Arabidopsis thaliana: one gene and its partner. The protein of the gene in region 2 interacts with the protein of the main gene of each other region in a pairwise test. Each region holds a gene or a part of one and is shown on either strand. Other genes may lie near its edges.

Region 1 (4,578 bases), on a different chromosome or scaffold from region 2:
AATAAAATATTGACGAAGCAGTGGTGGTAACAACTAAGAAGGCAAGAGACTAAGAACACATTTTCTGTATGCAAGTCAAAAAACTAATCCTCAAAAGATGCAAGAATTCCTCCTTTCAGAAACAAGATGAGTAGCAACTCAAATTAATCATAACTATAGAGACATTGTAAATAACATTCACCTATGTTTATGGTTTTGAAAACGCCTAAGGAAAGAGACAATATCAAACTATATGGAAACATCAAAAATCCGTTTATCGTTTACATTAATCAGAGATGTGACAATGATCATCGTTCGAGTAAATGCCTCATCACTATTCAGATCTTACAAGCTAATCTTGAGGTATGTTTTGTAGATGACATATTCTCATTTTTCTGCAGCATTTGTGGCAGATTCTTATCTTTTTAGCTGCAGGTTCACTTCTATAGTGAAAAGCCAGCAAGTAACAAAAAGACTGAGTATTGAAGCCTTGAAAGATTGTCCATTGGAAAAAAGGTAATTTTGAGCTTGTCAAAACTGCATTATTGCTAGTGAATGTTATGCACTACAGAAGTAACTTTGTAAGATAAATAATTGTTACATGAGTTTGAGTATGAGGTTTCTGGTTTCATGTTCCTGTCTTACAATTATACAAGGCTAAGTAAGCTTACATTCTTTGATCACAGACCCGACCGTGATTCATCTGAGCCCACCACAGCTTCTGATTAGATCAATCATCCTGTCAGCTCCTCCATTTGGCCCTGTTATCCCATTCACATCTCAACAATTAGAAACTCTTTATCCAAATGATGGGACACGAGACCCCTTTTAAGCTAGGCAGTAGAATCAGACTGCATTTGCTTAGCAACTCCTTTGGCATACTATGACAAACATCACATGGAAAACCAAAGAATCCAATACACTCACAGTTTATGAAATGTTTCGACCTTATGTAATCTTGACGGTACCAAGAAATGTGACAAAAGTCAATTCTTCAGATTACACTTCACGCATATTCTAAACCTAAAACTTCTATTTGCATCACTATTCAGATCTTTCAGGAATTCTATAGTTTCGTTTTTTCAGTTATAATCTATCTTAAGCAGTCTTCTTTTTTCCTATTAAACCTGCTAGGGAAGGCTGTAATCAAGGTTCTATCTACATCTCTGCGAATTTGAGCAAGGCTCATTCTTTGAATTTCTCAGTTCGTGGAAGTTTATGGGCTTTAGATCATTCTAGTTTTAGGGAAGGAATAACGAAAAAGACTGACCCGAGCAATGTATGGTTCCGCATCAGTACGTTTGAGGAAATGCATAGAATGACGGGCAAAATTTGTTGTTTTGTCACTCAGCACGATTCCTTCATCAATATCATCCAAAATTCTGACCTTGATATAAGGATCTTTAGGAGGGACCATATCCTTCAAGAAATGGATCAAGAGGAGATTACTAGTTACAAGTCCACCAAACAAGAAAAATCCAATTAATTAATAAAAGCCAGGGTGGTGGAAAGAGGACTTACGACATTCAACTCGATTCCTACTTTTCCCATGTATGATTTTAGAGCAACCGAATGGTTTTTGAAGTATTCCTTCTCTAGTGTAGTGAGCTTCTCTTGGATTTCAGAGGGAAGGTCGAGAAGTTCAAGCCCTACTCTCCATGCCAAATCACGCACAATTTCTGCTCGGTTGTACCTGCATAGCGACACCAATTGCAGCTATTTTTAAGAAATTGAGTGTCCAGATATAGTGTTACTGATAGGAAACGTGGTTCTCACACATAAGCCATGAGGCAGCGCTTGTTCCGGATCAAAGCAAGGTGGTGAATTAGTGCTCCATAGTGGTCAGCGTTTCTGTTGTTCTGAACATCCAAACCTTCTTGTTGCATTTTCCTGTAAATGGAAACATCAACCTCAATGAATCAGAAGTAAGTCTTTTGTGATGGATTGAAAAAATGCAACAGTGTAAAAAAGGGGATCAATACCTTATCAAGGACTGGATAAGATGGTGATTCTGGTCACACTCTTCGATTGTTTCATCAAAGAGTTTGCTCTGTTAGAAATACAAGAGGTTAAAGAACTAATCTACCTCATAGCTAACCAAGATAATACTTTCTAATTACAGAATTGGATATTATCAACCCAGGACTGGAAATTTGCTAACATTCCGTCACCTATAATCAAAACCTACTGGCCAAACTTGCAAGATTGATATACGTTAGATTACAGATACTCAAAAATTTCAATAGCCTGTATAAATTGAGAGATTTAGTGTCATAAAGGTGGGAGCTTGAAGTCTTACGTTGAAAGGTTTGAGCTGACCCTTCTCTCCGGTGGCAAAATCTTTGATAAGCTGATACCCTTTTCTCCCGTACATGTCGAATCGGCGGGTCTCCTCGCTTCACTTTGACATCTATCTATTCGAGCAATTCATCAAACATCTGGCGTGCCCAGAAAATTGAAAAAAGTAGGCAAATGCAAATAATTGACTCAAATCCCAGGCTTATGTTTAAACCGAACCTATTCGGTTTGTGGATGAAGCAAATCGTTGCTGATGTCGCCGAATTAACGGATGATAACAAAACCGTAGATCTAAACAAAACGTACCATACTGTTGCGGAGATTTATATGCAATCAAAACAATGTCAATTCTCGCGGCGGCGAAGGATTTCCAGAGATGAAGATGGTGGAATAAATCTATGGATGGCGGCAACACTCAAACTTTTTTAGGGGTTCTGTGAAAATTTTGGCGGGATTTTACAAGGTTTCTCTATTGTTTTTTTTATGTCTTTTCTCAGAACCAAAATATTCCTCTTTCTTTTTTTGGGATTTTACTTTGACTTTGTAACACAGTCAAACCAATGTCATATATACTAAAAAAATTACAAAAATCGATTCTAGACTTGTAACCTTTTGTACTAAACGGATTTTGAATTTGAGTGTCATGACTCATAATATAGTGTGATATATACTACCATAAATCACTTATATTTTTTTAAGTCACTGGTAAATGTCTAACATGTTTTTATACATCTTTCAACATTTGGAAGTTATATGCGTGTACATGTATCCGAATACTACTCCCTAATGTAAGTAAATCTTTTGGGTCTGAGGATAAGGATGATCCATTTGACTGGTACTGATGCGATTGACATTGTGTCACTTTCTTTTATTCTTATTATTTTGTTTTGTTTATATGCACTATATCTTTAGATGGCTAACAATTAACAAAAAAAAAACCCGTTGATCATGTTGGTTTTGCCAAAATAACCATCACCAAAAAAAATTGATAGAAAATATTTGGTGTTCCATCAAATCTACACTTACGGATAAGACGCTCTTATTTTTCCAATTATTTGCTTTCTCTTTCTGACAATCATCAAATTTTTAAAGCTAAATGCCGTTTTCTTCGCATGCTTACGTTTTAGCTGCTTCAATAATCAACTCAAGGACTTCCATAATTGTAGCGAGATTTGAAATGCATGGGTATATTAGATTTGCGATGTAGATTTAATTGGGGATTAATTACGATATGAACACGCAAATTTTGTTGTCCATATGAAAAAAGTAGCACATGAATGGATTGTCTCCACATTACACAAATGGGATGGTCCAGCAAGCCATATAGCAAGATATCTTACAAAATAAAATAATCCACACCTCTCAAAGTTGAGCCATTATATTTCAGGAAATATTAGGTTCGAGTTTTGCGTGATTATTATTTTAAAACTCGATGAATCAGTCATCTACTAATACTTGTAAGTTTCAACTTTGAACTAACCAAATCAAGCATGAACAACGACGAGTCACCAACGCTTGATTTCCTTAAGAAATATTAAAAAAAATTAAGCCATGCTGGATTATGGTTGATAAAACTATATGCTATGCGATGATCTTTGCCTGAAACGTGAAAAGAAAAATAATCATTTTTGGCAGATAATTAAGTGGCTATAGCTAAATTTAATGTTAAAAAAAAAGATAATTGAAATTTCAACACATACCACCCAAAAACGTTGTTTGTACTATTCTACTCCCATAATTACCCGCTGCTTTGACCCAGTTTTTTCTCTCCCGTTTAAAATACGTAACAAATAAAATACAATGATTACGCATCTAAACATGATAATCGCGATTATATTTGGTTGGATAATTCGAGAACCAGAAGAAAAAAAACATATAAAATTGAAATAATAAGACGACAAAAGAAAATTAATTAGAAAAGACACAAGTGCCTTCTAATAAAGAGATAAGAAAGAGGAGGAAGAAATGAACTAGTCTGAAACACAATGATGAACCACTTTTAGCAACACACATCAAAAACGACGAAAACAGAGTAAAAGAAGAAGAAAAAAACGGAGGAGGAACAGTTAGCGCCGTCCATGGCGGGTCTTCAGAGATCCACCATCTCTTTCCGTCGACAGGGCTCTTCGGGTATAGTCTGGGACGATCGTCTCATCGCCGAGCTAAGCCAACAAGCGGCCAACGACCGGAAAGGCGAGACTCTACAACAGGACGAACAGGCCAAGCTGATTACGTCGGAAGTACAGGATCAGACAACCAAACCTATCGCCGGAGAAGGACTCAAACCTATCAGAACTGACG
Region 2 (4,495 bases):
AATTGTTCAAAAGTTTCAGGAAAATTTATTGCAAATGGTAAATTCAGTTTGTCTTTGGCGTTTTAGTTACATTCGTTTTTCATGGTATCAACATTAATGTGATTTTTTTTATTTACAGAACACAACTGATCCAAACACTCACATGGTCTCAAGCTTTTCAAACCCAACTACCAGCGAGGTTTGCTACTGAATAAGCATTAGATAGACAACAAATTTCATTTAGGGATAAGTAATTATTTTGGTGATATCTTTTTTAGACTGAACCTGATTCAGACATGAACATTGTCTCTACCCCTTCAAATGCAACTACAAATCAGGTAATAACTCTAACGTTCCATTACATTTAATTTTCAAGTGCTTATGTATTTTAAAATTTTGAATTTTATTTTTGTTTAGATTGACACTGAATCTTCCGAGGCGGCTAACTATGAAAACAGCAACTCGTCTATCAAGACTTCTAAGAACACTTCAAAGATCACTAAATTGACCCCGACGTCAAAACGATCACTAACTTCATCGAAAGATAATGCAGCTCAAAAGTCATCTACAAAGCCTAAATTGTTGTCCAAGGCTGAGATAATAAAGGTTGATGTTTATTCGTATATTATGAGTTTATAGAGCAATTCTGAGACTCGGACCTATCAATTGGGATAAGATCACAAGACACATAAAATACAACAATAGATCGACTGGTCTAAATGGGGATCAAAAAGACAAACACACATGCACAATTTTGCATTGTTTGAGCCTCTGCGTGCCATCACTACAAAACATCCTCCATTAATGGGTATGAGGGTAGTTGAGCTTCTTCATCTTCATCCTTCTTCTTGCATATGTAAATAAAATGGGAATCAGGATCCTCCAGAACATAATCATGTGGCAGCATTCCCTCACTTGTTATAGGTATAGCTTCCATACAAGACTTTGCTGACGAGCTGCAACTTTCTGGCCTTTTAAATCCTGGTCTTGCTGCAAGAACACGGAAGGAATGAAGCTAAGAATACAATTTCAAAAGAAAATTTGTTGCAAAACATGGAAGCTTACGTATAATGTATAAGGAGATCTTCCAGTTGTACGCAGAACGAGTCAAATGAGGCATTCTCACTTTCGGATCACCGTAGGTTATCTACCAAACCACCACAACAAACACAAAATATCTTATATATCCTTCTAGTACCAGTGACAATGACTATGAACAGTTACAGACATAGAATGCAAGAGAAAGTATGTTTGTTACCAAAAAGTAGGTCCCTCCAGGTTTAATCAGCCTGCAATATGAAAAAAGAGAAGAGTTTTATTGAGAATATATATATTAAAAAAGAATCCAAAAACTGGCATCTATATGAGATGATCCAGGAGCAGCCATGATGATATTAGTGACCTGCTAACTTCACCCAACATTCTCGAAGCACTTAGAAGAGCATCACTGCCACACTGGAACCCACCGTATCACACAAAACAAGAAAACTTAAAAACACATGTAGACATGAACACGAGAAACAAAAGATCAGGTTCCGTACCATCAATGAATCAAGGGTTCCTACACAATCCAGCAGCCGCAACAACAGGTAACAATATATCACTTCTAAGCTTTTCACCATAAAAACAGAGTAATTGGTGGTTGCTACAACATACCTTTATCAATAATAGTGTCAAAGGAATCGTCTTCAAAGTAACTCATATCTCTAACATCCATTTGCATATCTGTTGGGTAAAAACAGAGTATAATAGGATAAAGCTTCTTACTTTACATATTTCTAAAGCTAAAGTAATATAAACTAGAGATGTGAAAAGAAGTGTTACATTTGAGCTGAGGAACAGATGCATATTTGGTTTGCATCATCTCAATAGCCACTGAAGAGATATCAACATTCATGATGTCCTCATACCCATCCTTCACCATATCCTCTGACATCACTACACCAAAGAGAAGAACAGGGCAATCACAGTGTATTAAATTTGGTTGCTGCTCAAGTCAAATTCAATCACTGGTACAGACTTCTTCAAATCTATTGGCAAAAGGAGAGAGAATTACGGGAGTTGCCACAGCCAACCATGAGGACTCGTGAAGAAGTAGAGACGAAGCTGCGGACAAAAGGGCGGAGAGAAGAGTAACATTGGTACCAGTCGAAAGAAAGCGCGTCTTGCACGTAACGAGCGTCCCAATAGAGAGCGTCTCCATAGTTGTAAGTGTTGCAGCTCGACACGTCCCTCTGCATCTTTCTCTCTCTCTCTAAAGATCCGATCTCAGATTCTGCGGCGGAGCTTTTTCTCTTCGTCGTTGTTTTTGACCAGCTTACGAAGTTTGGGCTTATTACAGGCCCAATACATAATCATGTGAAGCTGAAGAGTGACACGTGCTCACACATTGTTATTAGCCTCATAATTGGGCTCAAAGTAAGGAATTAAAGCCTCATCTCCGCCCATTAATTAATACGGAGTAATAGTTTACTGATTTGTGAAGGTTTATTTTATTTTTTTCTAATCAAATGATAAAACTTTTGCAGATTTTTACATGACAGTAGTAAACTACGTATTTTGATTTGTCGTTTTTATAAAAAATAATAATTTCTTTATCAGTGCTGTGTCGGGCAATTAGAACCTTCTTTCCATTTCTAAAAGATGTTACCAACTATTGACCAAGTATTTAAAACTGATAACGACACTTATTTATGAGTCTACTAAGTACTAACGATATTACTAGTTGTCAAGTAAAAATATCTAAATCCTTTTTATCTGAGTGCCTTTTACAAAATTTTGGATGATTATCTAATGAGCATCCATAAATAAGCTCAAATTTTAGTTAGCTACTTGACCATGGTTAACTCTAACAAGGATGATAAATTGATAATGATATAACGGTTCGGTTCGGTTGCTTTTGGAAGAGGACGAACCATAAAGAAAGAAGCTCAAAGCCCACCCATTTTCGTGATTACAGGCTTTTTAGCAAAAGGAAGCAGCACGTGTTCTCAAATTAACCATAGTTAACTCTTCAATATAACCATGGTTAACATTTAACCTCTTCTTCTTCTTATTAACTTCATCACTCTCTTTGTCTTCTCACTTTCTCTTCTCCACAGTTCAACTCAACCTTCCAAATTCCAATGGCGACATCACGAGCTTTCACTCTCTTCGCTTTCACATTATCTCTCCTCACCGTAGCTTCTACCGTCTCCGGCCATAACATTACTCAAATCCTCTCTGATACGCCGGAATATTCCTCATTCAACAACTACCTTTCTCAAACAAAACTCGCCGACGAAATCAACAGCCGCACTACAATCACCGTCCTTGTTCTCAACAATGGCGCAATGTCTTCCCTCGCCGGAAAACACCCACTCTCCGTCGTCAAAAATGCTCTCAGCCTCCTCGTCCTCCTCGACTACTACGATCCTTTAAAACTCCATCAGCTCTCTAAAGGCACAACTCTCACCACCACGCTTTACCAAACCACCGGACACGCTCTCGGGAACCTAGGATTCGTTAACGTCACCGATCTCAAAGGAGGCAAAGTCGGCTTTGGCTCCGCCGCTCCTGGCTCCAAGCTCGATTCCTCTTACACCAAATCCGTTAAACAAATCCCTTACAACATCTCCGTTCTCGAAATCAACGCTCCGATCATCGCTCCCGGAATCTTAACCGCACCTGCTCCTTCTTCCGCCGGAGTTAGCAACATCACCGGACTTCTCGAGAAAGCCGGTTGCAAAACCTTCGCGAATTTGCTCGTATCGAGCGGTGTTATTAAAACATTCGAATCCACCGTTGAAAAAGGCTTGACGGTTTTTGCACCGTCCGATGAAGCTTTTAAAGCTAGAGGTGTACCAGATCTGACGAATCTCACACAAGCTGAGGTGGTCTCGCTCCTAGAGTATCACGCCCTCGCTGAATACAAACCCAAAGGATCGTTAAAGACTAACAAAGACGCTATCTCCACTTTAGCCACTAACGGCGCCGGTAAATACGATTTAACGACGTCAACTTCCGGTGACGAGGTTATTCTCCATACCGGCGTTGGTCCGTCGAGACTCGCCGACACGGTGGTCGATGAGACACCTGTTGTTATATTCACTGTGGATAATGTGCTCCTTCCCGCTGAGCTTTTCGGAAAATCTTCATCGCCGGCGCCGGCACCGGAGCCAGTGAGTGCACCGACACCGACCCCGGCTAAGTCACCGTCTCCTGTGGAAGCACCTTCTCCAACCGCAGCTTCTCCGCCAGCACCACCGGTGGATGAATCTTCACCGGAAGGAGCTCCGTCAGACTCGCCGACAAGTTCAGAGAACAGTAATGCGAAAAACGCGGCGTTTCACGTTAACGCTCCTGCGTTGTTCACCGCATTGGTCACTATTGCCGCCACATCTCTCTTGTTATAAACAAAACCTTAATTACGAAGACTGCCATTGTCTTCCTTCGACGAGTTTTTATTTCTTTGTGATGCTGTTTGTTAAAAACTGGGAATTAGAGTGTTACGGTTTACGTTTAATCTTATTAGTTA

Evidence for each region.
Region 1: the proteins of AT3G60910 (region 2) and PSF1 interact in a two-hybrid assay, tested with the Arabidopsis thaliana proteins (one large-scale study listed by BioGRID).

The regions. Positions count from the first base shown.
Region 1 is NC_003070.9:30,157,251-30,161,828, reverse strand, and holds PSF1 (partner of SLD five 1), read right to left. Parts: upstream 2,789-4,578; 5' UTR 2,354-2,788; coding exon 2,279-2,353; exon of another isoform or gene 2,030-2,278; coding exon 1,962-2,029; intron 1,870-1,961; coding exon 1,756-1,869; intron 1,673-1,755; coding exon 1,501-1,672; intron 1,400-1,500; coding exon 1,205-1,399; 3' UTR 766-1,204; downstream 1-765. Other genes in the region: AT1G80180 (uncharacterized protein), read left to right, coding at 4,356-4,578.
Region 2 is NC_003074.8:22,499,451-22,503,945, reverse strand, and holds AT3G60910 (S-adenosyl-L-methionine-dependent methyltransferases superfamily protein), read right to left. Parts: upstream 2,403-4,495; 5' UTR 2,220-2,402; coding exon 2,036-2,219; exon of another isoform or gene 1,918-2,035; coding exon 1,804-1,917; intron 1,705-1,803; coding exon 1,636-1,704; exon of another isoform or gene 1,541-1,635; coding exon 1,521-1,540; exon of another isoform or gene 1,435-1,520; coding exon 1,382-1,434; intron 1,269-1,381; coding exon 1,238-1,268; intron 1,127-1,237; coding exon 1,045-1,126; intron 970-1,044; coding exon 764-969; 3' UTR 619-763; downstream 1-618. Other genes in the region: AT3G60920 (beige/BEACH domain protein), read left to right, coding at 119-178, 258-317, 397-618; FLA10 (FASCICLIN-like arabinogalactan-protein 10), read left to right, coding at 3,105-4,373.